Linked DNA regions of Stegostoma tigrinum. The protein of the gene in region 1 purifies or fractionates together with the protein of each later gene. This does not show direct contact. Links are inferred from orthologs where the notes say so. Each region holds a gene or a part of one and is shown on either strand. Other genes may lie near its edges.

Region 1 (10,031 bases):
CCTCCTTTGGATCAGAAAACTTGGACAGCCAGTTCAGAAGACCTTGAATCCGCATATTTTTCCTTCCTGAACAAGATGTCTTTGCATTGATATGCACTTGGGAGAGAAAGGTCTCCAAGGGAGGTATATTCACGTAATCATTGCCATTCAACACTGCAAACAGAGGCAGTAGGGCTTTGTTTACGAGGTTAAAATGTTTACAGAAATTGTCAATGGAGAAACACTGGGCCAAAATGTAGGATCCAGAATGGTCATTTGGAGTAATTATGTTTTGCCACTTAAAGTAATTGAGAGGACAATAACCAGCCTTCAAATCAAAGATACAGAAATCGCTGTCTAACGACACAACAGGGCAGGCCCACTGATTAGCGAGAGTTACAATATCACGGTCTGCTTCTGAATGACATTGGACGAAAGGTATTTGCAACTGCAGTAAAACTTGTTTAAAAACTTCAGGGCTCAGCAGCGGTAGCAGCATTCCTCCACCACCTCTCGAGATGACACGTGCTTTTTGGATTTTTTCCCTGGCCCGCTGTTTGAGAGTTTCGAACTTCTTATCGGTGCAATCGCATCCACCATCAAACACCACATATGGCCCAATATTACAGACAGACAAGGCCTCAAAAAATTTGCAGATGATGTCAGTCAACAAATCATATTCACCTCCATACTGAAGATCGAGACCAGAATCAAAGTAAAGTCTATGAAATAAGCTATTGCCATCGATCACAATTCTTGTATTTTGTATCTTGACATTATTAAAAAAATTATGATTTTCTCCAATGTAGGTCATCAATCCATGGACACCCATGTTAGACAGCAACAAGCTTCACCCTGAGTAATGAATACAAGGAGTTAGGTTGGATTGGTAGGTCATATCTGAGCATTGTTATGTGGTACAAAATCTAATTCAACAACTGAATAAATTCACTATAATAATGCATATAGTAATTCGTTAGAATGACACATCAGTCTTGGTGTCCACCCCCCCCCCCCCCCCAAGCTTTTTATCTTGCACTCAACATACTCATCTGTTTCAAGTTTTAAAAAACTAACAGCCATTACCTGGCTCATCCCCTAGAACAATGCCTGAGCCAGTCAGTCAAGTAACACCACAAACTACTCAAGGGCACTTAGAGGAAGAACATAAAATGCTGGCCCAACCAAAGCTCACATCCCCTGAATTAATTTAAAACAAAAATCAAGAGTCATCTGCCCTGTTTTAAACAAAGCTTGATAGTTAATTATTAGTCATCACTGAACTGGTGCACTGTCCACTGTAATGCCTCTACCAGAATCCACAGGCTATTCAATTAACTCTCTTCTCACAGTATAAAATGTTATTTCCCCTTGCATTCTTGAAAATGTCCTGGTGACTGCAAGATGTGTATTTTATCAGTAACATAATTGGTCAAATTTCATATGAAGTTCAGTGACTAAACAAATGAAGAAAATGTTACTATATCCACTTTTCCCATGAAAGCAACCACTCCTGTCTACCTCAGCCCCACCATATGGTGCCATACATAACAGTATAGATTGCCTGATCATACCTGGAGAGCTCATTCATTGTAATGGGTTACAGTAGGCATTGTGATCATGGATCTACATGTCTCGAGTGATTCGCCCTCTGTCTACATGGGTTTCCTTCTACAGTCCAAAAGGTTTGCAGGTTAGGTGAACTGGCAATGCTAAACTGCCCCATACTGTCCAGGGAGACACAGGCTAATGGATTAGCCATGGGAAATGCCAAGTTACAGAGTTTGGGCAAGGGTACGAGTCTGGGGTGGATGGCCTTTGGAGGTTCAGTGTGTATGTGATGGGCCAAATTGTCTGCTTCCACACTGTCAGGATTCCATAGTTCAAAAAGATACAGTTGAAAGAAGTTGCCCATTTAAAACCGAGCTGAAGAGGAGTTTTATTTTCTCTCAGACGATCAATTTGTGGAATCTTTTACTGCAGACATATCAAGATTGGCTAATTAAGTATATCAGACACTGATACAGAAACTCAACAGAGCATCAGAAACAACTGAGGTGAAAACAATTTACAAAGACAAAGCCATGTCAGAATTTAAATATGCCTTACTTCACAAGTGGTAGGGTTGAAATATGTAGTTTTGTGATATATGATTTGTAATTCTGATATTTGAGAATTTCACGTTTTAATTGCAATTAACATTGTTGGTTACACATCTTTAAGACTGTGTCCAGCTCATGGTCCTACATTTTCAAAAGGATACACTGGATTTGAAAGGAACATAGTGAATATTGACTGGACAATTACCCAGGGGAAATTACATGGAGAGATTACATATATTGGGCTTGTATTAGTTGAATGAAATGCATTTGAATATGGAGAATTGATGGAGGCATGAGACTTTAGTTCTTTAATTCTACTTTCCAGCCTATTACCCGAGTCCTCTGCTCAGTTGTTCAAAAATCTATTTAACTTACTCTTGGAATAAACTAAAGGAGCAAACCTCCATTGATCATTAGGGGAGTAGCATTCCAAACACTAACAATCCTCAGAAAAAAATGTTTTATGCCTTGCTTTGAAACTCAGTCCCAGTTCTAGATTCCTCCATGAGTGGTACAGTGGTTAACACTACTGCCTCACAGCTTTAGGGACCCGTATAAGAGTTAGGATGCCATGTTACAGCTTTATAAAACTTTGGTTCAGCCACACTTATGAGTATTGCTTTCAATTCTCATCATCATACTACAGAAAGGATGTGGGGTCTTGGAAAGGGTGCCTGGTTTAGCAAGTATGAGCTATAAGGTGAGGGTAGAAAAAAAATCAGGTTGTTTTCTCTGGAGCAGTGGAGGCTGAGAAGAGACCGGATAAAAGTCTACGAAGTTATAAGATGCATTCGTAGGGTTGATGGTCAGAATCTGCCCTAGTCTTGAAACGCGCATGCATTTGAGGTGAGATGGGGAAGTTCAAAGGAGTTGTCAGGAGCAAGTTTTACTTTTAAAAATACAAGAGTGGGAGGAGTATGAAACGTGCTGCCAGGGGTGTTGGTGGAGACATATGATTAGGGTGTTTTGAGGCACTTTAGAATAAGCACATAACTATGCAAGGAATGGAGGCATATGGACCAAGGGCGGGCAGAAAGGGATCAGTTGAATTTGGCGTCGTGTCCGGCCTGTTCCTGTGCTGTAATACAGTTCTATGACTATCGCTGCCTTGAGTAAGGAGACCAAAACCCCACACTTTTTTTTTAAGACTACTGTAGTACCTCATACACATCCCTTTTGCAATCGTGGGCAACACGTAAGGGATACCAAGGCCTGGAAACAGAGATATTAAGGCAGTAACTGAGAGTGTATTGGGCCCAGATGCGGAAAGAGTTGTGACTGGCGAAGACGGGTCAAGGGTTCCTTAGGGTTTAATTTCAGAAAGCGATACCGTACCCCGGGAGGCTCTCAACGGGGAAGCAGACGCTCCTTTATCCGATCCCCGAGGCTACTCCAATATCGCATCTGCTTCAGGAGCGGGAGAGCTTCCCGCGGGCGTCCCGCTTCGAAGGCCCCGGCCACCTCCTCGTCCAGCTCCCGGAGCCGGGCCTCCACTTCCTTGGACACCTGCTCGATCTCCTCCGGGCCCCGGGCCTCCTCCAGCCGCTCGTTGAGGTGCAGGACGGCAGCCAGGAAGGCGGGATCCCCACCGCCGGCCGGCCCGCTCTCCACCTCCTCGCCGACGCCGGCTTCCCCCGGTAACTCCAGCCGCAGGAGGTACAGGCCCCGGGACAGAGGCCTCAGCAGAGTCCCGTAAGCCTCGTTGACTAACGCCGACTGCTCCTCCGAGAAGCGGCGCTCGTCCTCGGAGCCGCGGCTGAAGTTGTCTGGGTGCAGATCCCTCTGGAGATGGCGCAGCCTCCGCCGCAGCTGCTCGGTCTGCAGGCGGTAGCGGCGCGGGAGGCCCAGCAGCTGGAAGTAGTCGCGGCGCGGGTCCGGGGGCTGCAGGGCCCGGCAGGACGGGCAGAAAAAGGCCGAGCCGCCGTCCTCCTCCGCCGCCGCCGCCCCGGCCCGCTCAGCCCCGCACCGCCAGCAGCCGCTTGCCCCGCTGCAGAAAGCGCGGCGGCCGGCGGCGAGGAGCAGACAGGCTGCGGCCCGAGGGGGCTGCCTAAGGCCCCGGGCCGGGACGGGGAGCTGAGTCCCGGGGGCGAAGGAGTGGGCCCCCACCTTGAAGGTGACAGTTGGAGCCACGCGCCACAACAGCCTGCACAACATCGTTCAAACCAGCCAATCAGCAACACGCTGAAACGTCACTTACACCACTCCTCTACGTCATTTCCGGAATCTATCCCTCAATTGACCTCACCTTCCGTTCTGCATTTTCTCAAACTTTGCTCCTTCTCTTTCCCAATTCCTATTTTCTCCTCTTCATCCTCCCCAATCCTCCCAAACCCCTTCCCTCCACTCCCACATCTTCCTTCATCCTCACAATTCCCTCTCTCTTCCCTTCCCACCTTCCCTCAGCCCCTTTCTGCCTATCATTTGCCTTCTCTCCCCCTTCCCCACTCCTCTCATCCTCCCCTTTTCATCTCCCAAACTTTTCTCCACTTCCTTTACCTGTCAACCCCAGCTTCCACGTGCCCCTTCCACCTTTCTCCACTTCACTTAATTCTCTCTCCCCCTCTGATCCAAATACAAAGTTGCTGGAAAAGTTCAGCAGGTCTGGCAGCATCTGTGAAGGAGAAAACCAAGTTAACATTTCGGATCTGGTGACCCTTCCTCAGAACTGATCCCCCTCTGATCCATTCTTCTCCTTTCCCATCTTCTTCCCTTCCCTTTCAATATCCTTTCACCCTTGTCATACCTCACGCCCTTCACCTCTTCTTCTTTAACCCTTCCCACACACATATCTCACTCTCCATGGGGTTTTTTTGGATTATTTTTTAAAATAAATGATATGTTTAACATTTTGCATTTTTTCTTCACTTTTTTGTTTCTTTACCACCATTCCTTTTGTCTATTAAACTTTGTCAATGCTTAGCAATTGGCTCGTTTGAGGGGTTTAATGTTTTTTTGAGATGAGTGTATCTTGTTCTAAAACTAAAAATATAGTACTTTCCCCCCCGCCACCAACAAAAAGAATCATTCCCCACTCTCCACTTCTCAGCTTCCTGATCTAAAGTGATTCAAATTTGAAGTCTGGAGACTTATTTTAGCACAGTCATCAAATTTGGGAAGATGGAGTATCAGTAAAGACAAGGCAAGAGAGAAAAGTATTAACATGGGAAATGACAAAACAGACCATGACAGGAAGTGATTACGAGTGGGTGTCTCACAGTAATTCGACAGATAAGGTTATAAAAATGGCAAAAGGAGAAAACTAAAGACTCCGCATCTGAATCATAAAATCCCTAGAGTGTGGAAACAGTCCATTTGGCTCATCAAGTCCACAGCACTCCTTTGAAGAACAGCCCACCCTTCCATCTTACTGCTGTAACCCTGCTTTCTCCATGGCTAACCACCTAGCCTGCAGATCCCTGGACACTATGCAGCAATTTAGCATAGCCAATTCACCGAACCTTTCTTTGGACTGTAGGAGGAAATCACAGCACCCAGAGGAAACGCATGCAGACATGGATACAAACCCCACACAGACATTAGCTCGAGAGTGGAATCAAATCTGGGTCCCTGGTGCTGTGAGGGTACTGTATGTACTGTACCATATGAATGCATGACATATTTGTCACAAAATGGATGAATCGATAGCGCAAGTAGAAATAAATAAAATCTGATAGCCGTTATACAGATGGTTGCAAGGTGACACAGATTGCAACCTGAATATTAAATATTATAGGACATTCTGGAAGAACAAGGAGTTAGGAAATGTAGAAGGGAGATACTATAAATTAATGATGGTAATAGCACAACTGAGATGGATAGTCTGCATTTAAGAAATCAACACATAGAAAGTGGTTTGAGCCGAAATGATAGACGTTAAAGGCAAGAAGTTATGTATGGGAGTTGTGTACAAGACCCCTATCAGTAACCACACAATAGAATGGAGTAGAAAATCAGATGGGAAAAGATTTACTTGGATGCTACCTGGACCAAAAGGTTTGAGTTATATGGAGAGGTTGGATAGTCTGGTATGTTTTTTCCTGGTGTATAAGAGAATGAGGGGCGAACTTATAAAGGCCTATAAAATCATGAGAGACTTATTAAAGGTAGATAGGCAACAGCTTTACCCCATGGTAGTTGAATCTAAAACTACTACTAGGGAATAGGTTTAAGGTGAGAAGGGTCCAGAGGGGCAGGTTTTGCACACAGAGGATAGTGAGCATTTGGAACAGCTGCCATATGTAGTAGTGGAAGCAAATACAATTTTCATCATTTAAAAAACATTTAGGAAAATACATGGATGGAAAAAATATGGAGTGATATGGACCAAACGCAGGCAAATGGGACTAGTTTAATTGTGAAAACTGAATGGCATGGAAATGTATCCCCTTTGACTCTGTAACAGCATATTCTGAAGCAATCCAGACAGCCTGTAATACTCAACCTGGTATTTGCAATGAGATAAAATTAACTAAAGACCTCATTGTGAAATGTCTGCAGGTCGCAGCACTCATAATGTGAATGAATTTTGCATTCAGTTTGAGGGGGGAGATGAAAGGGTCTAAGACTAGTATTTTAAACTAAATAAGGGCAATTATAAGGACATGAACACAGATCTAGATAAAATGAACTGGCAAATTAGGTTAAGGGATAAGTCAATAGGGATCTAGTGAGACACTATAGCCTGCTCTTTGTTCTAAGTAACTGTCCTCAAAACATTCTATGAACTCCTGGACTACAGTTATACATCTGACTTTTCTAATCTTTATGTAGATTGTTATATAATGATTATCACCTGACTTTTCTGACAAGCTCCCATTACTTCATCCTTCATAGTCCATCCAACATATTTAAGGGAATATTTCAGAATACACAGCGTAGCTTTACCCCATGAGTGTGAAAAATTCCAAGGGGAGGAGAGTTAAAAAAGTCAAAGAAAGTATCAAACTTAAAGAAAGATGGGGGAAAGATCAGAAGATTGGACAGAATATAAACAACAAAGAATGACTAAAAGATTAATAAGGAGGGGAAAGTGACAAGAGAGAAAGATAGCTATAATTATAAAAGAGATATTAAGAATAGATGCAAATATTTAGACATAAAAAGAGTTAACAACATGAATGTTGATCCTATAGAAAGCGGGTCTGTGGTATTAAAAGTAGAAAATAAGGAAATGATAGGTTAATTGAACAGATATTTTGCATTGGTCTTCACTACCGAGGATAAAAACAGATTCCCAGAAATGGTGGCAAATCAGAAGATGGAAGAAGGAAGGAAATAAACATAATTACTATCACTAGGGAAATGATAGTGAGCAAAATGTTGGAACTGCATGCTAACACATCTCTAGTCATGGCACACCTCATCCTAGCCTTAAAAGAAGTGGCTACTGAGGAAATTACAGGCCTGTTATCTTATCATCTTAAGAGTGAAGATGTAAGAAGGTGTTCTAAAAGATGTTATAGCAGGACATTTAGAAAACACCAAGATAATCAACAGAGAGAACATGTTTTCATGAAAGAGGAATCATGTTTAACTAATTTATAGGAGATCTTTAAAGGAGTAATGTGTGCTGTGGGTAAAGTGCAACCGATCGATGGGCTGCATTAGATTTCCAGAAGGCCTCGTAAAAGAATATTGCAAACATGTTTACAAGGAAAAGCAGTAGGATACTCAGTCTTTTGAGTTGCTTCACCATTCAATACGATCTTAGTAGGACAATAGGTCGGCACAGCATTGTGGGCTGAAGGGCCTGTACTATGTTGTACTCTTCTATGTTCTAAGATCATGGCAGATCTGCTTTTGACCTCAACTCTACACTCATGCATACCCCTAGTAATCTTTCATTGCCTTGGTAATCAAGAATAATTGCTGAAAATAAAAGCCTGTGATGCAGTGATTTGGCCATTATCTGGTAAGCAACATGGAACATTCTAGGTGGGTTGTTTTTTGAGCGAATGTTGGACAGGCTAGCATTTATGCATTGGAGTTTAGAAGAGTAAGAGTAATTGTAAAATATAACATCCTGAGAAGTTTTGACAGGGTGGATGTGGAAAGGATATTTCCTTTTATGGGTAAATCTAGAACTAGGAGGGGTCACCATGTAAAAACTAGGGGTTGCCCATTTAAGACAAAGATGAAGAAAAATGTTTGCTCTTTGAGGGTTGTCAGTCTTTGCAACTCTTCGTTAAAAGATTCTGTGAGCAGTGTCTCTGAACAGCTTTAAGGCACAGGTAGATAAATTCTTGGTGAACAAGGGAGTGAGAGGTTATCAGAGGCTGTTGGGAATTTTTTATTCACTCATGGGACATGAGCATCACTGGCTGGCCTATGGTTGCCCTCGAGAAGGTGAGTTGCCTCCTTGAACCACTGCAATCCATGTGTCTTAGGTAAGACTTTGGGAAGGGAATTCCAGGATTCTGACCTGGAGGCAGTTAAGGAACAGTGATACATTTCCAAGTTAGGATGGTGAGTAGGTTGGATGGGAACTTGCAGGTGGTGGTGTTCCTACATATCTCCTTCCCTTAACCTTTTAGGTGGAAGTGGCTGTGGGCTTGGAAGGTGCTGTCTAAGGATCTTTGGTGAATTTCTGAAGTGTATCCTTCAAATACTCCATACTGCTGCTAGATTATTTAGCATCGTAAATATCCAACTCCTTTAATTATCAACCACAATCTAAAAGTTATGTCTCTCTGCATACTTGTCTCATCAGTTTTACCACTGCTCCACAGTGCTAGTGGTGGAGGGGCTGGATGCAATGCCAAGCAAGTGGGCTGCTTTGTCCTGGAGGATGTTGAGCTTCTTGAGAATGGTTGGAGCTGCACTCAGCCAGGCATGTGGGGAGTATTCTATCACACTCCCAACATGTGCCCTGTAGATCGTGGACAGGTTTTGGGGAGTCAGGAGATGAGATAGTCACCGCAGTATTCTTGATGTTTGTCTTGCTTTTGTAGCCACTGTATGTATATGCCAACTCCAGTTGAGTTTCTGGTCAATTCTGCAAAATGGAACAACGTGGACTTGAGGACCGTCAGATCAGCTATGATCCTATTGACTGGCAGAGCAGGTTTGAGGAGCTGAACAACCTTCTCCTGTTCTTGTTACTCATGATCTTATGGTCATATGATAACCCCCAGCTTGTTCATAGATTAATATCAGATCACATATGATTCTATTAAACAGTGGGGCAGGCTGAAAGGGTTAAATGGCCTACTTCTGCTCCTAATTTCTGTGTTCATATGTTTCTCAAATTATGTGGTAAATGTGATTTGGGGATGCGAGCTTTAAGGACATAGAGCTCAAACTGATTTCTGGTAGCTGCAACGTGTCTTTTAGTCCTCCAGTTTATTCACCTATTGGTGGGCAGGGCCTAATGGTCATCTTTAAGTATAGATTGTAGCTGCAAAATTAGCTTGTGAAGAGGTAGGTGTATGTTTTAAAAGAACCCAGCAGTTTATACAATCCCCATCATGATAAACATCTGCCAGCCCCGCCTCCTCCACCCTATCACCCCAAGTCTGAGATACTGAAACTGGATCACCCTAAAAAAACAAAGTTTAGCGACTGTCCCGTGCATCTGAGAAGATAGCATGATGCCCACCAAAGTGTCACAGAACAGAAACATAAATAAAGAAAACAATTATTTCTCATATGCAAAAAAAAGCCTCCTGAGAATATTTACTCAATGATTTCCCATGAATATGCTGAAAGGAAATTAACCTGAAAATTGAACTCTTTTTTTCTCTCTGCATCGATGTTTTCAAATCTGCCCAGCACTTCCTGTTCTAATAAAATAGCGGAATGACAGTATTATCGTAATGTTGAGACTGAAGGCTGTAGCCTGTGGTGCTTAGCCGGTCCGGAGAGCCAAGTTCGCTGTTAGCCTGCAGAAACCTGGCAGTGTTGCAAAGTTTGCAGACGGTCTTCTTGTCTGACGTTGTATGTCTCAGTTAG
Region 2 (11,527 bases), on another chromosome or scaffold:
GGCTGCAGCGGGACATTGACAGGATGCAGAGATGGGCTGAGAGGTGGCAGATGGAGTTCAACCTGGATAAATGCGAGATGATGCATTTTGGAAGGTCGAATTTGAAAGCCGAGTACAGGATTAAGGATAGGATTCAGGATAGGATTCTTGGCAGTGTGGAGGAACAGATGGATTTTGGTGTGCAGATACATAGATCCCTTAAAATGGCCACCCAAGTGGACAGGGTTGTTAAGAAAGCTTATGGTGTTTTGGCTTTCATTAACAGTGGGATTGAGTTTAAGAGTTGTGAGATCTTGTTGCAGCTCTATAAAACTTTGGTTAGACCGCACTTGGAATACTGCGTCCAGTTCTGGTCGCCCTATTATAGGAAAGATGTGGATGCTTTGGAGAGGGTTCAGAGGAGGTTTACCAGGATGCTGCCTGGACTGGAGAGCTTATCTTATGAAGAGAGGTTGACTGAGCTCGGACTTTTTTCATTGGAGAAAAGGAGGAGGAGAGGGGACCTAATTGAAGTATACAAGATAATGAGAGGCATAGATAGAGTTGATAGCCAGAGACTATTTCCCAGGGCAGAAAAGGCTAACAGGAGGGGTCATAGTTTTAAGCTGGTTGGAGGAAAGTATAGAGGGGATGTCAGAGGCGGGTTCTTTACACAGAGTTGTGAGAGCATGGAATGCGTTGCCAGCAGCAGTTGTGGAAGCAAGGTCATTGGGGACATTTAAGAGACTGCTGGACATGCATATGGTCACAGAAATTTGAGGGTGCATACATGAGGATCAATGGTCGGCACAACATTGTGGGCTGAAGGGCCTGTTCTGTGCTGTACTGTTCTATGTAACAAAAAGTACAGAATGCACCTGCATGGATACGGAGACAATAAACAAAAAGGGGAAAGTGGGAACTCACTGGAACAAGATCCTTCACCACGTACATATGAGGTAGAGGGTAAATCTTTGTCACTTTGCTAAGATTGCTGTCAATTTTGCAGGTGCAAGCCAACGTATTGCTGCCATTGATGTTCATGGCACAGGAACCACATATTCCTGAAAATAGAATATTTATGTACAGTTGATCATGTTTTTTGATTATTTTCACAGAAACTCCTAATATGCACAGTATTGTTTAGTTTAAATTAAACGTACAAGCAGTCACTCTAATTAATCACTAGGAGTGACTGGCAAGTTTAATCAGTATTTGCATTAAAGAAAATCAAACTATGAAATGGAAAAGGACGGAGTAGATTATAGTAAAGCTGGATAACATTAAATTCACCCCAGAAACACAAGTATTAGCATGACCACTACAGCAGTGACTAATGGATGGAATTTCAACACTCTGTCCCAGACAAGACAAACGGCAGGGCTCAAATGAGGAAACCAGACAGTCACCTGCCTACTTTGTTTTAATCACACATGTTTTGGATTGAATGAGTATTGCACACCAAGAGGTACACTGAAAATTTGAACCTCACAGCTTCACTTTATTATGAGTAATATTTGTCAGTGATTTAGATTTAATGTCTCCGACAGAGGTTTCCATGAGCCAGTTTAAGAGAGGCAAAAATTGCCAATCTGGCAGACAAGTGCTCGTCCAGCACAAGCAAACCTGGTGCAAATCACTTGCCCCTTTTCTTGTGAGACAATCCACCTCTCACCTCCCAAATATGTCCTACAAATTTAGAACTGTCCTAAGTAGTCCATGACTGTTATCTTAAAATGTTGCCTTTCATACACACACAGCATCCAGCATTCAATATGTCCAGCTGCTGGATGAGTCAAAGCAAAATAAATAATAAATTCTGGTGAATTTAATGCTGTTGCCAAATTTAGAAGATCCTCCACAATCCTAGCATTTCCCACTTCCAAGCATTTGAAAAGTATTACCATCCTTTCCCAAAATGTTGCTGCCTTAGTTTCTCTGATCTGTGACCCTTCATTTTTTTAAATTACATGGACATCATTAAATTCGCTTGACAATAAGCTAGGTCTGATTTTGACTGTGTCATAATCCTTGCACATAATAGATTACAATTTTTCAAAATTTTGCTTTATAAAATGATTGTCATAGATTCTCAGTGACATACAAACTCCAAAGATGGTCATGTCCGTCTGTCACAGAGCCAGCAGTTGTGATCCCACAGCACTGGCTAACAATGAAGAAACGACAAAATAAATTCTTGGTTGCAGACTCATTGGACATTTGAGCCTTGTGGATGCAGGCATAGGCAGTGACAGTAAAAGCCAGTCATAAATACCAATTCATGCTTGGATACTTTCAAGAAGAAACTACAACCTTCAAAGGAACATTGAAACAGCTGGTGACACCACAGTGGCATTGCAAATGTCTGAGATTTACTGGTCAGTGATAAAAAGGTTTTCTGTCACTCTCCACATCTAGGCACATAATTATAGTGATGGCTAGTTTAAAAATGGGACAAACATCTGGATATATACACTCTTACCTCACTTAATGCCTGACTAATGTTCACAGATGCGAGACTGTAATGATTCATCAGAAATGCAGACATTGATCTGTCACTGTCACTATATCACTCATATACAATACCACTCACCTTCCCTGCAAGATCTTCGGAATGTCAGTGTGGAGTCCACTTCATTCTTGATCTTGATAAGAGCGTCTAGTACCATCGGACCACATCTACATATGTAGTGTCACAACAGTTTGAAATATCAGTTTCAATTCTCTCAAATGCAGATTGTATTTGTATATTATCTTTAGTATAGTTACAAGTCCCAAAGCACTTCACAGCAGCTTAAACAGACTAACACAAAGTCTGAATCAAAGAAGATATTAGGATTCTGATCAATTCTTCAAACAGCCAAGTTTTAAGTCCATCTTAAATAAAGGAGCAAGAGTTGGATTGTCAACAATGTTGCAGGAGGGAAATTTGAAAGTTTACATCGTAAAAGGCCAGAAACACAAGAGTTGTTTGGTGAAGTAAGTAGAAGATGCCAGAGATAGACAGGTGTAGGACTGAGAAAGTTTCACACACTGAATACATTTCCAGAAAACATCTGTTCAATCTTTGCTGTAATGAGACTTTTAGGTGAATACAGAAGTAAAACAGAAGGACTATAAGGAAGACAGCTACTCCTTTGTTGCTGGAAGAGGGGAAAGTTCCCAGATTACAAATAATCAGGAAATGAACATAGACTGTAATATTAGACCCATTTCTCAAAGTGTTGCCAATGGCACGGGGGAGCCAGAGTGTTTCGAGATCTTAGTAGTTTTTGCTCTGGTCATTCATCTTACTCCCAAGTTTAACTACACTTGGGAGAGTGTGCTTATGGACTACCGAGGTGTGGGCCTGACAGGTCAGCAGGTCTTTTCCAATTTCATCACTGCACTTCACCATTTTACCTCTGCTTGAAAACAATCAATCAAAATCCTTCTATCCGAAGTAGTACTATAATAAAGAGGGCATACTGCAGTAAAATTTAAATCAGTAAAAGTCTGACCAGTGCGATCAAATGCATACCCTGTAGCATTTCCCCTTGGAACACTTACGCATTTAGATCAATCTCATAGGTTTGCATTCGAGGCTTGTCACCAGGCTTATCTGGATTCCACCTGTAAATCGCAAACTTTTTAAGGCGAGACACTGCTTGTGCTGCAGGAGCAGTAGCTGCCGCTGCCTGTGAGCTGCGAGATGACTGCAAGGGAACAGAAAGCCAATGATCAATCCATGAATCGTATTCCAAACGATACACAATCAAATTTCCCTTGTACACCAAGTCAAAGTTCACAATGGAAAAAATGTATCCAAAAAGATTCGTCTAGATGGGTAACAGAGATATGACAAGTCGCTAATATCACAGGAACAAGGACTACAAAAAATACTCTAATTAATTAGATGGGGAGATTTTGTGATCATTTGTGTATCAGACTAGCTACATTTTTATAAAAGAATAACGAATTTTATTGAGAGATAGTAAGAACTGCCAAAGCTGGAGCAACATAGCAGGCCAGGCAGCATCAGAGGAGCAGGAAAGCTGATGTTTGGGTTAGGACCCTTCTTCAGAAAATCATTTTAAATGAATTTTATTGAAGTTGCTTTTTAAACACAATTATATGGGTAGCATTCACTCAAAGGAATGGTTTAACCAATAGGTTACAATAACTAGATAGCCCCAAGATCATAAAAGTCAAGTAATCTGCAAGGCTTTACGTTTCCCGCTCAGCCCAAGGAGCCAGTCAAGGACAGAGACACAGGCATTGTCAGTAAAGCATTGTTTTTGGTTTGAGAAATTTATGAAATATAAATAGCAGTAGGCTGCTGGGTCTCTGTGCCAGCTTCAGTAAGATCATGGCCGATCTATCTCTGCTCCACCTTCCAGCACCATCCATCCAAGTCCCAGAATACCAAAAAAATGGATCAAACTGTCTTGAATACCTCAGTGATTGGACATCTGCAGTAGAGAGTTAAAAAGAATAATAATGCCAAGAGTGGATAATTTCTCCTTTATCTCAATCCTAAATGGCTAATTCCTTACTCTGAGACTATCACTCCTGGTTCTGGCCACCTCACAAAGGGAACTATCCTCCCAGCATATACACCATCAAGTCCCTTTTGTGTTACATTTATATAACTCTCACCCTTCTAAACATTAGGCCACAGAGGTCTATTACTTAATTACTCCTTAGGACAATTCCCTCATGTAAGAAATTTCAGTGTACTCACTCTCAGGCAAGTATATTCTTCCTTAGGTATGATCAGAACTGTACACAGTAGAAGGTGTGATCGGATGGAGATTTGGCTGCTTTTGAGGTTCATCCTAACCAGCTCCACAATGAAAGACCCAGTGCTCCACAGACTGTTCTCTGGAATGTACACCAAGAACATCAATAGCACTTGGAGGATCACTGACTCGGTGAAAGAAGCTCTTTAGTCTGCCCGAAATGCATTGGTCTTCCAATTCAAAAAAATTGTCCTCTGCAATTTGGCTCATTCCAAAGTCCAGAGCTACGTCCTAAGGGAGGCATTAAAGCTTGGGGCAGCAGCTGGCAATGCCCAAGAGGAGCAGTCATTACCGGAGACCTTTCATTCATGTTGCAATAAGGGGCTGGATATATAGAACTCCTTCAGCTGTGTGATTGACAACAAACATGAGAAGCCTGGGAACTACATAGCTGTAAGTCTGACATCGGTAAATGTTGGAGGGGATCCTGAGAAATCGCATTTACATGTGTTTGGAGAGGCAAGGACTGACTAGGGATAGTCAGCGTAGCTTTGTGCTTGGGAAATTGTGTCTCACAAATTTGATTAAGGTTTTTGTGGGCATAACCAAAAAGATTGATCACAACAGTGCAGTGGATGTTGTCTATGTGAACTTTACTAACTAGGTTTTGCAGAGTAGACCGATTAGTAAAGTTGGAACACTTGGGATTCAAGGACAGCTTGACAACTAGATAGAAAATTTGCTTGATATTAGGAGAGAGGGGGTGGTGGAGGAGGGCTTTTTTTTTTGCACTGGAGGCCTGTGACTAGCGGTGTTTCACAGGACTCAGTGCTGGGTTTACTGTTGTCTGTCATTAGTATGAATGATTTGGGATGAGAATTTGAGGCAGAGTTAGAAAGTTTGCAGATAACACCAAAATTGGATGGGATAGTCAACAGTGAAGAAGGTTTTCTAAGATTACAAAAGGGATTTTGATCCATTGCACCAAAAGAGTTGAGCAGTGGAGGTGGGTTTTAATTTGCATAAATACAAGGTTTTGCATTTTGGTAAAACGAAGAAGGGCTGGACTTATACAGTTAATGGTAGGGTCCTGGGTAGTGTTGTTGAACAAAAACCTAGGGGTTCAGGTAGATAATTCTGAGTTGCATCACAGGTAGTTAAGACGGCGTTTCGCATGCTTGCCTTCCTTGCTCAGACCACTGGGTACAGGGATGTCATGTGTTTTGTACAAGATGTTGGTGAGGCCACTTGAGTACTGTGTACAGTTCTGGTCACCCTGCTATAAGAAGGGTATTATTAAATTGGAGAGGGTGCAGAAAATATTTACCAGGATGATGCTGGGTCTGGAGGATTTGAGTTATAAAGGACAGACTGAATATGTTATGCCATTTTTCACTGGAGCGTAGAGATTAGGGGTAACATGATAGAAGTTTATAAAATCACGATGGGCATAGACAAGGTGAATAGCAAAAGTTTTTTTTCGTAGGGTGAGGGAATTTGAAACTAGGAAACATATTTTCAAGGAGAGAGGAGGAAGATTTAAAAGGGACCTGAGGGGCAACTTTTTCCACACAGACAGTGGTTTGCATCTGGAGTAAACTGCCACAGGAAGTGGAAGATGCAGGTAGAGTAACAACATTTAAAAGACAGCGAGTTTTGAGAAGATTCGCAGCTCAGGTTGAGGTTCTGGATGTGAGTTTGCTCGCTGAGCTGGAAGGTTTGTTTTCAGACGTTTCATCACCATTCTAGGTAACATCATCAGTGAGCCTCCGACGAAGCGCTGGTGTTATGTCCCGCTTTCTATTTATCTGGTTAATCCCAAGGAAGATTCTATTTATCCCAAGGAAACCTAACCAGATAAACAGAAAGCGGGACATAACACCAGCGCTTCATTGGAGGCTCACTGATGATGTTACCTAGAATGGTGATGAAACGTCTGAAAACGAACCTTCCAGCCCAGCGAGCAAACTCACATCCATTTAAAAGACATTTGGACAGGTGCACAAATTGGGAAGGTTAAGAGGGATATGGTCAAATACAGGCAAGTGGGGCTAGTTTAGTTTGGGTAAATTGGTCAGCATGCATGAGTTGGACTAATGGGTCCGATTCCGTTAACAGAAAACGTGGGTACAAATTTGATGGTGGCCGTCTCATTCAATGACCGATGAGGAAAGTTTCGGGGGGCTTTAAATTGGTGGTACAATAACAGATTACTGGAGGAACTCAGCAAGTCCAACAGCATTATGCGAAGAGAAAGAGGAGTGTTAACAGTTTGAATCCTGTGACTGTTCTTCAGGACAGGGTGGGGTGGGAAGAATTAGGCAATTCATGCTGTGCATATCCAGCTGCTTAAAATCATATTCTAGCTCAATAATTCAATGAGCTTGCCACTTTCAAAGAGGAATTCAAGATTCTTATATTTTGTCATGAAATTTGTGATAACGTTTAGCAGATCCACGATAAGGCAACAAGAGAAGACTGTCACTCTAAACCATGCATGTAGTACTTTCCAGCAACAACTAGAGTTGGCTCTGCTGGCAAATTGCATAGTTAGGGCTATTAATAAGGTTTTAAATAGTGGGGGGGATGGGTTCAGTTGGATGGAAAATTATGGAAAGAGTTAAAAGTTGGAAGGCGGGAGGGGGTCTCAGCAGAGGTTATTACAGTTTCCAAAATGTGCATCAGGACGGTGTATGGAAAGAGTCAGGAATCTTAATTTTGGGCACAGCAGGTGAGGGGACAACTATGAGAGGGAGGCAGTCAACTCAGGACTGAGGGTGCCAACTTAAATGCACACAGCATACAAAATAATCTAAATGAACTCAAGAGTGCAATCAAAATTGGCAGGACATTGTTGTGGGTATCACAGGGATGCAAGGTAGTCAGGGCTGGGAACTAAATATCCAAAGGTACATGGCACTATCGAAAGGGCAGGCAGATGGGGCGAGGTTGCCTTGTTAGTAACAAATAAAATCAAAATCAATAGCAAGAAGCGTCATAGATCTGGGTAGTAGAGTGAGGAAATACAAAAGGAACGCCCCACTCTCACCCCAGCTGAAAGGAGTCACGTACAGGGCTGCTAGCAGTCAGGATGTGGGGAAGAAAATAAATCAGAAGATGGAAAAGACATGTAAGAAAAACTGTATTATAATAATCACAGGGAACTTGTGTGCAGGTGGACTGGAAAAAAAAATCAGATTGGTGGCAGATCTCAAGAAAAGGAATTCCAGGAACGTCTATGAGATTTTTTTTGGAGCAACTTGTGGTACAGCCTACTATGGAGCAGGCAATTCTGGATTTGGTTATGTGTAATGAGGCAAACTTGATTTAGGAGCTAAAGGTAAGGAACTCCTGGGGAGGTAGTGACCATTATATGATAGAATTCACCCTGCAGTTTGAGGAGGAGAAGCTGGAATCAGACATAATTGTATTACAATTGAGTATAGATAACTATAGAGATGAGGGAGGAGCTGGCTGGAGTTGATTGGAAGGGCAGTCGAGTAGGGTAGACAGCAGAGCAGCAAGGGCAGGAGTTTCTGGTAGTAATTTGGGAGACATAGCAAAAATTCATCCCAAGGAAGAAAAGGACTAAGGGGAGGACAAGGCAACTATGGCTGACAAGAGACATCAGGGACAGATTAAAAGCAAAACAAAAAGTACACAATTAGATGAACATGATTGGGGGGACTTTTAAAAACCAGCAGAGCCAACTGTAAAAGCAATATGGGGGTGGCAGGAAGGAGGCAAGAGAAGATGAAATATGAGAGTAAGATTACAAGAATTTGTTTTAGAAATCTAAACTGTAAGAGACAAGAGTGGAAAGTGGAGACCTGGCAAATGAGGCCAGAGAAGTGGTAATGGGGAACAAAGAAATGGTGGAGGAAGTGAACAGATACTTTGCATCAGTTTTGATCAGGGAAGAAACCAGTGGCATACCAAAACTTCAAGAGTCAGTACCCAAGTGAGTTTAGTAGTCACCACCAAGGAGAAAATACTGAGGAAGCTGCAAGGTTGATAAATCATCTGGACCAGATAGACTACACCCCAGAGATCTGAAGGAGATTGCAGTGGCATTTGTGGTGATCATTCAGGAATCACTGCAGCCAGGGAGACTCTCAAAGTACTGGAAAATGGTTAATGTAATTCCTATGTTTAAGAAAGGAAGCAAACAACAGGAAAGCATTGGCAGTTAGCCTGATCTCAGCCACTGAGAAGATCTGAGAATCCAGTACAAAAGATGATATTGCTGATGATAAGATTCCTGACTTGGAAATGCATGTAAAATTGGGCTAAGTCAGTACAACTTTGACAAGGGGAGGTCATGCCTGACAAATCTGTTAGAATTCTTTGAGAAGTAAGGAGCAGTTAGACAAAGGACAGCCTTTGGATATGATCTATTTGGATTGCCAGCAAGCTTTTGACAAGGTGCTGCATAGGTGGCTGCTAAACAAGATAAGTGCCTGTGTGTTAGGGGCAAGGTACTAGTGTGGATAGATGATTGGCTGACTGGCAGAAGGCAGACAGTTCGGATAAAGGTGTCTTTTTCAGGATGTCAGCCAGTAACTAGTGGAGTTCTGCAGGGGCCCAGGTTGGGACCACAACATTATACAGCAACCTTTTAATTAACCGGCAGTAGTGGCTCAACTGGAATATTTGATCAAGAGATCCACGCAATAAATATAAAAGCACACACTAGCTAATGGAAATGCAATGCAGGGAGTATACACACCACTGTTATTCTTTATTTACAGCATAAATCACTTAAATAATAATAACTTTGCCTTAAATAAAACTTACTAGCAACCTTCTCACTCGTGTCCTCAAATGGCTATTCAGACATCATGATAATAAATAAACTTTCAGTATTTGAGCATATAATTTTTGCCAGTTTATCCAAAGTGCCAGTTCATAAGGTTCCAGTTAAAACAAAGACTGCTGTACATTAACAAGCTGAACAAGGGAACGGATGGCATTGTTGGTAGGTTTGCAGATAACACAAAGATATCTGGAGGGACAAGTAATGATAAGGAAGCGGGGTGGCTGTAGCAGGGCTTGGACAGGCTAGGAGAGTGGTCAAAGAAGCAGCAGATTTAAATACAATGTCAGAAAGTTGAGGTTATGCAATTTGACAGGAAAGATAAAAGCATAGGCTATTTTCTAAATAGGGAAAGGCTTCAGAAACCGGAGGAAAATCCTGAACTACAATGCTTAACATTAAAATGCAGGTTCAGTTGTCAGTTAGGAATGCAAATGCAATATTGGCATTCATTTCAAGAGGGCTAGAAAAGAAATGTACTGCTGACCCAATTGAAGGCTCTGGTCATGCAGCATTTGGACTAATCTGACTAGTTTAAGCCTGTGTTTCTAAGGAAGGGATGTGCTGGCATGGGAGGGTGTCCACACGAGGTGTATGACAATGATCCCAGGGATGACAGGCTTGACATACAAGGAGCTGGGTCTGTACTCGAAAGTTAATAGAATGGGTAAGTTTCAACCAGAACTCAAAGAATACAGAATGACGTGGACAGACTGGACATGGAGAAGATGTTTCCACTAGTTGAACAGACTATGACCTGACCTCTGGAGTAAACATACGATCCTTTAGAATTGAGACGAGGAGGGCTTCCCTCCACCTGTGGGTGATTAATCTGTGGAAGTCATTATTGCAGAGAACTGTGGAGGCCAATTCATTGAGGGTGTTTAAAATAGATAGATAAGTTCTTGACCGGTAAGGTGGTCAAGGGAGAAAAGCAGGAGAATGGGGTTGAGAAACAAATCAGCCATGATCGAATGGCAGAGAGGAATCGATGGGCGGAATAGCCTAATCTGCTCCAATGTCTCATGGTCTAAGCCCTTCTGCGTATTCCGCCTATATATATTCTAAGGAGTTACAATGTCGTTAACAATTAGATTATATTTTGATTATTGTGACGCCGATTGAGGAAGAGAGATTGACCGGACACTGCTGTTTTTAGTTTTCATAATAGTGCCGTAGTACCTTTAACAAGTCAGGCAGCTACGATCTCAACGTCTTATCCAAAAGACGACACATCTGACCGTGCTGCACTTCCCCAGCACTGCACTGGACTGTCAGCCTTGGGGTTTCAAGTACCTAAATCATAGGAATAAACCCTAACTCTGACCAGGTCGCCACGATTTCGATGCCGCCGCCGATGACCTTTACACAGCGGCCACCACATTGAGGCCGCGCGCACCAACCGCCACTTCCTCGTGCGGTGCGGGCGGGGGCTGCGCGAGGACCCGGCACCAAGGTCAGATGTCATTCCCTCAGTGGATACCGCTCGCGCCGCCACCCTCCCTCACCTGGAGACGGAGCGCCCGCCACTGACCCCAGGCCCCGCTACGCCTCAGGCACATCGCCGCCATCTTCCGGGGGAGTCTGAAGAAATACAACAAACCGATCCGTAAGCGAGTCGCAAACGCCAACGCTGTATTCCCACAAAGTGAAACCGGCTTCGGGCGAAAGGACAGAATCCGAAGACGAAACCGGCACTCCCGGTTATGTAAGGCGACCGGCGAGTGTCAACAAAAGAAATCTGCCGAATGACGCTTGCGCTTTACGCCGTCCGCTTCGTTTCATAACTCTTAAAGGGGCAGTGACCCCATTGGGGATCTGCGTTTGCAAGGATAAATGTACCGAAGTGGTAATGTCCCTAACTCTGAGCCAGGAGACCAGAGTTCAAGTGCCACCTGCTCCAAAGGTGTGTAATAACATCTCTGAACAGGCTGGTTAAAAATATCTCTTATGGATTTGCAAACTACAACATATACATGTCCGTTTTCATTGTCATCTCTCAGGGTCATAA
Region 3 (11,386 bases), on another chromosome or scaffold:
ACTTCAGAGATCATTACTATCCTTACCGTTTTCCCTTTCACCCATTCTGTAGCCAGTGAGCTAGATGCAATTGCCGATCCACAGCCAAATGTTTTAAATCTTGCATCAATAATTTTCCCATTTTCATCCACTTCAATCTACAGAAGATAGTCAAAATGCAAACAAGTTGTAACAGTTATAATCTATCACAAAATTGACATCATTTGATTATTAACCAGGCAGAATTGCAGCATAATCCAAACTGAAACTACTAGATGACAGAGGAGAAACAGCAGCCACACACGTCCTTCCAGTTTCCACAGGACAATGCAACAGGCTGGTCATATCCTCCAAAGAGAGAGTCGGGGGGGGGGGGGGGGGGGGCAGGAGGAGGAGTTACCATTTGCTCTCAATGTGATCCTGATCTTTCAGGACAAATTGGCTAGAAATATGTGCAGCATAATTAGGAAGTGGCAGATCACTAAAAAATACTGAGGAACTTCAGTCAAACAAGATGAAACAGGATTGAAGTTCATGAAGGAACCACGCTCTGGTTAAGTGTTCAATGAAGCCAAACACTAAGAATGCAATTCTGACTAGAAAAAAGCAAACCTTCTCTGAAATATATGCATGTATATAAGCACATCCATGTCAGCCCATGGGTCATAAGCTCACTCTCTCCATACGCACCCAATGTTGCTGACATACATTCCACATTCGGCCCAAGCGCTCTCACTTCATCACCGTCCTTGGTACTATACACTCAGCCTATTGCTGAGATGTTAGCCCTATTAAAGGACACAGGAGTCAAGATAGAAAAGTGTGCTTTTGAGGTTACAAGGGAATAGAGTTTCAGCAACAGCGCACACTTACTTGGGCTGGTAGAGTCCAAGGCTCTGCAGAATAGGACATGAGTCCTATCATTTTCACAGGCATCCCCAAATTCCAACCCCATGGTATAATAGCTTAGGGCAAGGCTCAAAGTGGGGGCCAGGACAATCAACAGTGGGTGGGAAGGACTGAGGAACTGAGAGGGAGTACATGTTTGCATTGGCATACAAGAGAATGAGAATTCCTAGATGGGGAGCTGGATACATGTACAAGTTTCCTCCCTGCTTTATAAAAAGCTATTCACAAGACTAGAGGAATAAAAAAGTCTCAGACTTAAACAGCACACTTTCAAGCCCCTGCTTCACATGAATTCTGCCAACATCAGCTCAGTACTTGGCAGAAGCAAAAACAAGGTCAGTTTTAGTTAAACCTAAATCAGTTTCGATCCACTGCGATGATTGAGAATTAGGGATTCTGTCTGCCTCCAGCTCAGGTTTAGTTGGTTCCTTCTGCTGCTTGGTACTTAGATTGCCACTTAGTTTTTTCTGTTTGAATTATAATTACTTTAATTTTTTTTCAATGTCTAAGTATGTTTCATGTTGTGCCAAATCATATCTTTCTGAAATATGCATTCAGTCCTTGAGAGAGAAAAGAATTTGAAATCTGATTACTCAAGAAAAAGTTGGACAATCCCGAGTCAGACCTTTGTAGGTGCTCACTTCTGTCAATATCATGTCAGCTACAACTCAGTCAATCTGCAAATTCTCCAAACCATTTGACGACAAACTGTTAGCGATTTGTTTTGAGATATCACTGGATCCAAGCAACCAGGATACAGGTAATTCAACAACTATGTTCATTTTATATCTCCTAGGACAGTACAAGTTTCTATTAGCTGTAGCTATTATTGGATGTTAGTATGGAAACCAGCTTTCCCTTCGTAGGAAGTTTATACTTCTAGAAATACCCTATTAAGTTTGGGGAACTTTTAAAAAAAATATGCATGATTTCTGGTGTGCTATGCTATTCAGTTTTCTGTCTGTCTGTCTCCCCTCACTTGAACGTGCCAATGCTTGAGGAGATGGCTCCATAGACATTAATAGCTTTACAGGTTTGAAGAACATGCTACGTTTAAACGCAAACTTCTCTGGATCACTGATCAAAAGTTGAGCTCTAAATTTAATTCATCTAACTATGGCACTGAAGCCAACTGCTGGACTGAGAACAGCTCATTCATCCAAAGAGCTCTCTGAAATGGTGACCCATATCTTACCTTTGGGAAGCAAACTGAACCATTATACGCAGCCCTTCAACTTTGCTAAATAAATTAAAAAGGGACATAATGGCTCAATTGATAATGTTACATTTAAATACATTGCTACCCATATCCTGGATCACCTCAAAAAACTTTACCTGTAGTTTCATGACATCACCACAAGCCGGTGCACCAACCAGGCCAGTTCCAACATTTTTTGCATTCTTATCCAAGGATCCAACATTTCTGGGATTCTCATAGTGGTCCACTACCTACGGTAGAAGGAAATACAATAGTGCAAGTCATGATGACTCAATAGAACTCTAGCTTCTGATTTCAAAACTGTGTTCAAGTTTCATTAAGCACAAAGAAAGACCAAGCCTATAGTCTAGTTCAGGACCGACAGAACGCAGCGCTGTCGGAACTGTCGTCATTTGAAAGACATCAGTCTGCCCTATCAGGTGGGTGGAAAAGATTCCACCGCATTACCTCCACAGTTCTGGTCAGAATCTATCCAGAGATAATTTGGTCATAAGACCATACAGCTCTTTGCTGAAGTTTTATTTGTAATGTGCAAATTGGCTGTTGCATTGCATACAATCTGGACTAGACATGAAGAATATTTCACCAGCTGTACAGCACTGCTGCCCAAAATACTTTATAAATTCAATTACAACTTCCTCTCATCACCACTGCATGCCTACACCCCCTGCTTCTCCTCAACACCACATGCCCATGCCCCCTGCCTCTCCTCAACACCACACGCTCACGCTGCCGCCACACCCCCTCCACCCTTTCCATCTGGACTACGACCCCATCGCTAATCATAGGTTTCCACAGATGATGTTGGGACCTATCCCCATTACTACTTCCCACCTCATTATCCCCAACCCTGCACAGCCTGCTACAACCTTCTTCCCAAAATCCACAAAATAGGCTGCTTGGACAGATCCACAATTTCAGTCTTCTCGCTGATCCACATATTTCTTATTTTCCTCTTATTCACTTTCTTCCCATATACACGTGACTCTTCTGATGCTTTACATTGGCTCCACAATTTGTTTTTTTTGGCCCTAGCTGCCACCCCTTCACAATGAATATACAATCCCTCAATTTCTATCCTTTTCACTTCCACGAGGTCCACTTCTGACTCTTCCTGGTCTTCTATTCCCATTTCTGGGGATAGGGTGCCCACCAGTATCCACTACAAACCCATCAACTCTAGACAGTTGTATTTGGAACTGATGCTGAAGAATCTCAGATAACAAAGTGTACAGTTGGATGAACACAGCAAGCCAAGCAGCAAAGCTGACATTTTGGGTCTAGACCCCTTCTTCAGAAAACCCAAAATGCTTGGCTACACTTCCTTGTACAAGGACAGCATTCCATTTTCCAAGTTTCTCCATCAAGTGTTGACAGGGTTGCCTTTGAAATGTTTTTTTTCCTTCAACCACAATACCAAACATTTTTCCATTCCCCACTACTGATTCTCTGAGACACCCTGATCTATTTCTCTACTTCACTTCTGACACTTCCTCACCTCTATGGCATATTTCTATACAATTAGAGATTACATATCACTTGACCTCCTCACTGTTCACAGCCCTAAGTACACATTCCAGGTGAGGAAGTAGTTTGCTTGTACTACTTTGCATGTAATCTATCACTTGCTACTCACATTGTTGAGGCCAAACACAAAACAGACAAATGGCTTGCAGAATACCTTCACTTTGTAAGAATGAATTATGTCCCAGTTGCTTGCTATTTCAACTATCTCGCTGTCATTGAGCATTTTTGTCCTAGGCTAGCTGCAGTGTTCCATCAAACCTTAGCACAAGCTGGAGGAACAGCATCTCAATTCCCATTCCAAAAAGCAACAGCCTCCACAACATTGAGTTCAATCCCTCCAGGGCATGCCATCTTTCCTCTGTTTCGATTACAGCACACCACCCAAACTCTGGCACTTTGCATCTTGTCAACTTTGCTGTCAGCAGAGCAGACGCATTTTCTTCTTTGCGCACCTCTTTCAAGTCTCAATGTCTTCTTTGGCACCGTTAATACACTCTTTTGCCTTCTGTTCTGGTATCCTCGCCATCTGTCACACTCACTCCAACATCCCATTTGTCTACAGCGTGGTACACACGCTGATTCGGTTATAATGGACCGGAGGCATTGAGAAAACTTTCTCGTTCGACGGACGGTGCCAGACTTGCTGTGTTTTGCCAGCATTTTCTCACTCTGTTTCACGTTTCTAGTAGCCATTCTGCTTTACTTTTACAGGCATTCCTTCTTTACCCACCACTCCACTTTCCCCTGCACACCCTCTTAACTGCAGCCACAACACTTTTTGTATCCTTAGAGACTAAGTGTTAGAAACGCTCATGCCACACGGCATATGTAAGATCACCCTCATCACCAGACGGTGCTCTCATTAGCTAACAGCCTCCTACCTGCCGTTTTGAATAGATTAGATTAAATTACATTCACTACAGTGGGAATTTGCGGACTCCCCTGGCCCACCCCAACGTGGACAGCCTCGGGACCAGGCGCAGAGTAAAGGCTGCTACCATTCCCAAGCGCAGTTACCTTTTTGTGATAAGCAGCGACGAGGGGTGCCCGAGCCTTCAGCACAAGCCGCGAGAGAGAACCAGTAATTATAACCGCCGCCATCACTACCAATAGCCGAGTGCGTCACAACCTCCTACTTCACCGCCCGACGTCACCAACACTGACACCCCCTCCAACAAGTGCTGTTACGTAAGACTGACCACGCCCCCGCGTGGTTATGTCATGCACTGACCACGCCCTCCCCACGGGACGCATTGACGAGTGAGCAACGCGCCACTAACAAACGTGTCCCTATGTTGTTTTGTTTACCACGCCCCTTACGTGACCATGTGGCTGGCTGGGCACGCCCCTTGCGTGGTTGCGTTACCAACTGAAAACCGCTCTGGAAGGTAAACAAAACATCGCGACGCGCTCTGCATCGCGGCCTTACCAATATGGTGACAATTCGTACCCCGCTTTCGTCATATGCAATCGTCAGTTTCATTAAAGCCCACATGTCGCGTTGTTATGTTGTAAATATTACATCCATTTGTCCCATATTCTCCCGAAAATTTCTGTTTAAAACAGCTCCCGCTGTAATGCGTGGAATTGTACTTCAAACTGAAGCTTCTATTAAAATAAGGAATTGTTCTATAAGAAGTAGTTGTGTTTCTCAGGATGTGAAGTGTTCTATTTGATCGGGCGTCTCGGCCTTTCCCGCACTGCTGCGCATGATGGCGACTATCGGGAGGCGACGGTCGAGTGAGGCTGAGGAATTGGAGGTTGGAACCGGGGGCGACTCGGAGGAAGAAATGGAAGACTCTTCGGAGGACGAGCAAGAAAACGAGGCGGAAATCCAGCGTTTGGAAGAGCAGGTGCGACGTGATGGCGGGCGGGAGTGAGCCCGCGGGATTTAAAACTTCAGCACGAGCTCCCCCTTCCCCCAGCCCCGTCCCAGTCCCACTTACTCTCCCAGCCCTTTCGCCCTCATCCCACCTCTACCACGCACTCTCGACCCCTCCCCACTCACCCCGAAGTTCCCTCTCCCATTCCTCCGACCTCCTGCTGACTCCTGTCCGCCTGGCCTGTTCACTGTTGTGAAATAAGTAAACCAAAACATTTCCGTCATTGCCGAAGTAAAACAAACATCTGAAAAATCACTTGAAAACCACGTAGTCAGGACTAATCCTTCGAAGAGCCAAGAGAAAGGCAAAATGCCTGAGGTCATCTACGGAGAGAAAATATAATTTTCTGGGGCATAGTACTCAGGTTCACGCTGAGTTGAATGAATGGCCCAATTTCTAGCTATGTATGTATGATAAAGTCATGACCAATAAAATCCAAATGACTTGAAGCATATGCCTTGACTCACAATAAATCTCACTGGCAGCCAGTGACTAGTAAGTTACCACAGGGATTAGTGCTTGGATCCAGCTATGGAGTATAATGGATATATATGCAATTATCCACTTTGGTAGCAAAAACAGGAAGGCAGATTATTATCTAAATGGTAACTGGAAAAGGAGTAGGTCCAAGAGACATGGGTGACCTTGTACACAAGTCAGTGAAAGTGAGCATACACATGTAGCAGTGAAGAAAGCAGGTGGCCGCCTTAGTGAGAGGATCCTACTGCAGGAACAAAGATGTCTTGTTGAAATTGTACTGGGCCTTGCTGAGAGCGAAGCTAGAGTATTGTGTTCAGTTTTTATCTTGTTACCTGAGGAATAGTGTTCCAGCTTTGGAGATAGTGCAACAAAGGTTTACGAGGCTGACACCGGGACAGCAAGACTGATATACGAAGGCTTTGTTAGGACAATCTTCATTGGAGTTTACAAGTATGAGGTTGGAATCTTGTAGAAACCTATAAAATTATGACAGGACTAGACAGGCTTTATGCAGGAAGGATAGTTCTGATAAAAGGAATCCAAACTAGAGGTCACGATTTAGGAATATGAGAATGCCATTAGGGACTGAGATAAGAAATGTCTCATGCAGACTGGTGAGCTTGTGGAATTATCTGTTACAGAAAGCTGTTAGAGATAAGACATTGAATGTTTTCAAAATGGAGTTAGATATAGCTCTTGGGGCTAAAGAATCATAGGGTTTGGAGAGAAGGTGGGAACAGACTACTGAGTAGGATGATCATTATTGATGATTGCTAGGTAATTGAGTCCATTTAAGACGGAGATAGATAGGTTCTTAATTATCAAGGGGATCAAGGGTTCGGGGAGAAAGCAGGTGAGTGGAGCTGAGGAAATTATCAGCCGTGATTGAATGGTAGAGCAGACTCGATGGGCCGAATGGCCTAATTTCTGCTCCTATGTCTTATATGTTCTTATTATATTGAAAAGCAGATCAGACTTGAAGGACTGAATGGCCTAATTATACTCAGAGGTAAAAGGGAACTGCTGATGCTGGAGAATCCAAGATAACAAAGTGTGTAAACTGCATGAACACAGCAGGCCAAGCAGCATCTCAGGAGCACAAAAGCTGACGTTTCGGGCCTAGACCCTTCACAGAGAGCCTCTCTGATGAAGGGTCTAGGCCCGAAACGTCAGCTTTTGTGCTCCTGAGATGCTGCTTGGGCCTGCTGTGTTCATCCAGCTACACATTTTGTTATCTTGGCCTAATTCTACTCCTATTTTTTCTAAATTTCTCAAGACTCTATGATCATTACTAAACTTTAATTAGTCTTGATCTAGACTAAAGTCACATCTCAGAAATTTGGGACACTGTGGTTCCTCAAGAATCTGCTGCTTATCCTTTCCAATGCTATTGTGAAAAATTTAAGTGCCAGTTGTGATGGGCCAGTTTAATGAGTGTGATATTTAAGTCAGTTCTCTTGCTAGCAAATTACAGACGTAAGCTGTTTATAACTCTCACCAGTGCAATGAGATCATCATACTCAAACATAGTGAAAGTGTAAGATAAACTGTCAGGATTCACCGTCAACATCTCAAGTGAGGTCATTTATTTGAAAATTGTTGGATATCACGGACGTCTAAGAACGGTTTAGCTCTGGAAGCTGTATTGTGTCCCAGCTATATCTCCATGTAAACAACTTTCTCAGCAGTTTCCATATGTAAACTGAGTGAGATTCTGGAGAACAGTAATGCGATTCTTTATATTGTATACCGTTTATGGCAGTGGAAGTACTTTATTCCACTTGGGCGACTATGTTCAATTATGGAAATTACCACAATTCTGTGGACTGAAGTACTTCATGCTCAGTGAAATACTGAAATCTGATTTATTATAAATAAAATTATTCAGTAGGAAGAAAAAAGACACTGAAGAGTCAATCTTACCTCCGATTTGTTCCCATGTTTACAGAGACTTGCTGCCCTCAAAGCAATAAGGCTGCACTTTTACAGAAGAATATTGTGGTTTTCATGGTAGAGCAGTCCTCTATGCAACAATGTAAAATAGTGTATCATTTCACACTAAGTGATGATGAAAGGGTATTTTTAAACCCTCTGTTTATCTGTTTAAAACATTTTACTTCTGAGTTTCATATGGCTTTATGCTTGTTATGTCATTGGCCAGGAAGCTTGATGTTTTTATTTTGTGGCATTAACACAGTTGTCAAGGTTTGCCATAGACTAAATAGACGCCCATTTTTGTCTGATGTGAATGACAAGTTTAAAAATTGAGAAGCAGACTTATTGATAACCAATTGGCTATTAGAAAGTTTAATAAAATGACAGATGTATTCTAATATTAATCACTGGCATGAGGACAGCAGTAATCTGTGCCATTTATTTTAGCTTTCCATAAGTGCCTATGATTACAACTGTCATGTCGATCTAATAAAATTGCTGCGTCAGGAGGGGGAGCTGGAGAAGTTACGAGCTGCTCGACAGAAGATGAGTGAACTGTTCCCTCTTACAGAAGGTAAGACTATCCTTGTTAGACAATTGCAACACCAGCTGAAACCTGATAATGTAATGCAGATCAGACTTTGTAATATGTTTATGACCAGCATCCTGATAAAAGTTTGAATTAATCCACTTTCCACAAGATTTTGGCTGTTTTTTTAAAAATTTCTCCTGTTTCTTCGAAACTGATCATGTGAACATTCTGTTATTGACATGGCAACCTTAAAGCCACAGCTCTCGTAATCCTGACTAGTTCTGTTTGTGAAGGTTCTGTTCTCAGTTATATTGAGGAAACCAATCCAATTCTGTTTTTCAGAGCTTTGGCTGGACTGGCTAAAGGATGAGATTCTAATGGCAGAGGGATCAACTGACAGGGAGAAAGTGTATGAACTGTTTGAGAAGGCCATCAAAGATTATATTTGTAAGCTCTTTTTTACACTTTAGTGTTTGCCTGACTCTTAACATTGAGTAATCACAGCTTTCTTTGATGAATACAAACATATCCCCCACTGTTCTGCTTCAGGTAGAACGTAGCTGTTGGCTGGGCAAAGTGTTAATCTTTCTAGCTCCCCCAGTGAATTGAAGTGGGAAGGAGGAAAGAGACTTTGTTTATTAATTTGTGAATGTATCAAAAGACTAAAAGTATATGTAATTTCAAATAATGAAATCTTGAAAGTTAGTTCTTCTCATTTGCAAATACCCTCAGCTTTAAATCAACGCTGATGACTAGGCAATTTAAAAACCCAAGCAGACAAAAATTGAGTAATTAACTTAACTGTAAGTGATGATCTAGCACCACAGCATGATGAAGCTCCCCATATTTGAAACAATTGAAAACAGTGATGGTCATGTTCCCTGTTGTTCGTTCAGGTGTTTAAGCTGGCCCAATTTCAGGAGCTTCAAATACTGGTGGTATCCAGGTAGTTGGCACTCAGCTGTTGAAGCTGCAAAGATAGCTTTGTGAATTGATTCCTAAAGATTTTATATGATAAGAAAACACTCTCTGCTGGATAGAAAGCAGAATTTCGATCAGCTCCACAATGCAGTGGACTTTGTTAACTCCGTTAGGAAACCACCAGGACTTAAAAATGAATGACCACGTAGACCTTGAAAATAATATCATGGGATAAAAGTGTTTAAGTTTGCTAATGGTTACCCTCTGGTGTATTTTAGTAGGGTGTTAATTTTTTTAGAATAATTGGGTTAACATTTCTTCTAAAAGTAGAAGTAAGTGAACAAGCATTTATGGTCTGTTAACCCACAACATAATTTTTGAGTCTAATAGAATATGACATACAGATTGTTCCACAGCAGAGTCAAGTCTGTCAAGAATAAGAGTTCCACGGTGTGAAGTTGGAGGAACACAGCAGGCCAGACACCTTCGGAGGAGCAGGAAAGTTGACGTATTGGGTCAGGACCTTTCTTCAGAAAATTTTCTGCTGTGTACCTTCAGCTTTACACTGTGTTAGCTCTGACTTTAGCATCTGCAGGCCTTGCTATGTCCACATCCATTGGGAATGTGTTTTACTACTGTTGTGAAGTTAAGTGATGTCTGATGCTGACGGCGACTTTCTCTCTCTCGTGTGCACGCATTCACTCACTAGGTTTGCTGAGTTTGCAACACATTAATGCAGAAGTCCTCAAGTTATTATCGGATGCTGACATGAAGAGTTGGTTTTAAAAATCATGAATTATTTTAATTCTGTTTTGATGCACACTAATGTTAATAAATAATTTTCATTACAGGTCCTGAGATATGGCTGGAATATGCTCAGTACTCCATCGGTGGGATTGGTCAGCAGGGTGGTATTGAGCGAGCTCGTGCAATATTTGATCGAGCTTTAACTGCTGCTGGATTACATATGACAAAAGGAGTAGCAATCTGGGAAGCCTTTAGAGAATTTGAAAATGCTATTTTAGGAACCTTACAGGTAAGAGAATCTGAAATCCAGTTTAATTTAATGTGAATGAATGATAAGTTTGTCAACAATTTGGTGCATGAAGCAAAATGCAAACCGACGAGAAATAATTGGCTGGTACGGTAGAATATTTGAGATTATATACATTTCTTTCTTGCTATTTATTCATTCATTGAACCCTACTTAAATTTGGGTTTCTCCACCTAATGTACACGGTGAGAATATGTTGGTTTTGGCCATGGGAATTCAGTACCAGGGAATGGAATGATTTCCAATTTGTATTTCCAAATCTGATTTGAACTATACAGTTTGACTATAAATCAAATTGTGGCAGTGCAACAAATTTGTTTGAGACAGTTGTTATTCTCAGTCTGAAAGTGAGATTTTATTGACACATTCTTGATTATTATTTTGCCGATACTTTCTAATTAGAAACGAGATTGAGATGATTCAATCTAATTTTTAGCTAATAGAAAGGAGTCCTGTACCCCAGTACCTGTACTGGATTTTCATTTGGGTCTCAAAGATGAAACAGTCTTCACAAGCTCACGGCAGCACTGTACCTTGTTTTTGCCATTGGTGAACTTTCGGCTGAACTTACCAGTCTGTTTGTGATATCTACTTACGTGGAGAGAATGGCATGAAATTTTTTTATTTGGATGCTTGTACAGATACTTTGTCCATGTTACAGTGGTTTTCTCTTGTATTGCTTCATGGGATGTAGGTGTCAGCGTTTACTGCCTGTCTTTAGTCGCCCTTGAACTGAGTGCCTTATTGCACCGTTTCAGAAGGCAGCTATAAGTCAATCACATTGTCGTGGATCTAGAGTCAAATATAAGCCAAATTAGGAAAGAACAGATTTCCTTCCACAAAGAACCTTACAGAATCAGAAAGTTATTACAACAATCAGTGAAGGTTTTAATGATACCCTAGTCTGAGTATTGGTGACAGAATCTTATACTTCTGATTTATTAATT

Evidence for each region. Proteins that work in one complex are often made in the same cells at the same time.
Region 2: the proteins of hscb (region 1) and sdhb purify together in Homo sapiens (co-immunoprecipitation; 3 studies listed by BioGRID and IntAct, with this or other methods). This does not show direct contact. The link is inferred for Stegostoma tigrinum from reciprocal best matches to the Homo sapiens genes HSCB and SDHB.
Region 3: the proteins of hscb (region 1) and iscua purify together in Homo sapiens (affinity purification with western blotting; 3 studies listed by BioGRID and IntAct, with this or other methods). This does not show direct contact. The link is inferred for Stegostoma tigrinum from reciprocal best matches to the Homo sapiens genes HSCB and ISCU.

Annotation. Positions count from the first base shown.
Region 1 is NC_081355.1:6,552,087-6,562,117, forward strand, and holds hscb (iron-sulfur cluster co-chaperone protein HscB), read right to left. Parts: upstream 4,244-10,031; 5' UTR 4,236-4,243; coding exon 3,429-4,235; downstream 1-3,428. Other genes in the region: protein asteroid homolog 1-like, read right to left, coding at 1-811.
Region 2 is NC_081381.1:32,413,607-32,425,133, forward strand, and holds the start of sdhb (succinate dehydrogenase [ubiquinone] iron-sulfur subunit, mitochondrial), read right to left. Parts: upstream 4,820-11,527; 5' UTR 4,796-4,819; coding exon 4,703-4,795; intron 3,675-4,702; coding exon 3,529-3,674; intron 2,659-3,528; coding exon 2,573-2,658; intron 1,044-2,572; coding exon 907-1,043; intron 1-906. UniProt on the Homo sapiens protein: Iron-sulfur protein (IP) subunit of the succinate dehydrogenase complex (mitochondrial respiratory chain complex II), responsible for transferring electrons from succinate to ubiquinone (coenzyme Q).
Region 3 is NC_081379.1:29,047,787-29,059,172, forward strand, and holds the start of iscua (iron-sulfur cluster assembly enzyme ISCU, mitochondrial), read right to left. Parts: upstream 4,820-11,386; 5' UTR 4,736-4,819; coding exon 4,652-4,735; intron 2,338-4,651; coding exon 2,224-2,337; intron 138-2,223; coding exon 27-137; intron 1-26. Other genes in the region: sart3 (squamous cell carcinoma antigen recognized by T-cells 3), read left to right, coding at 5,344-5,487, 8,380-8,506, 8,807-8,911, 10,237-10,421.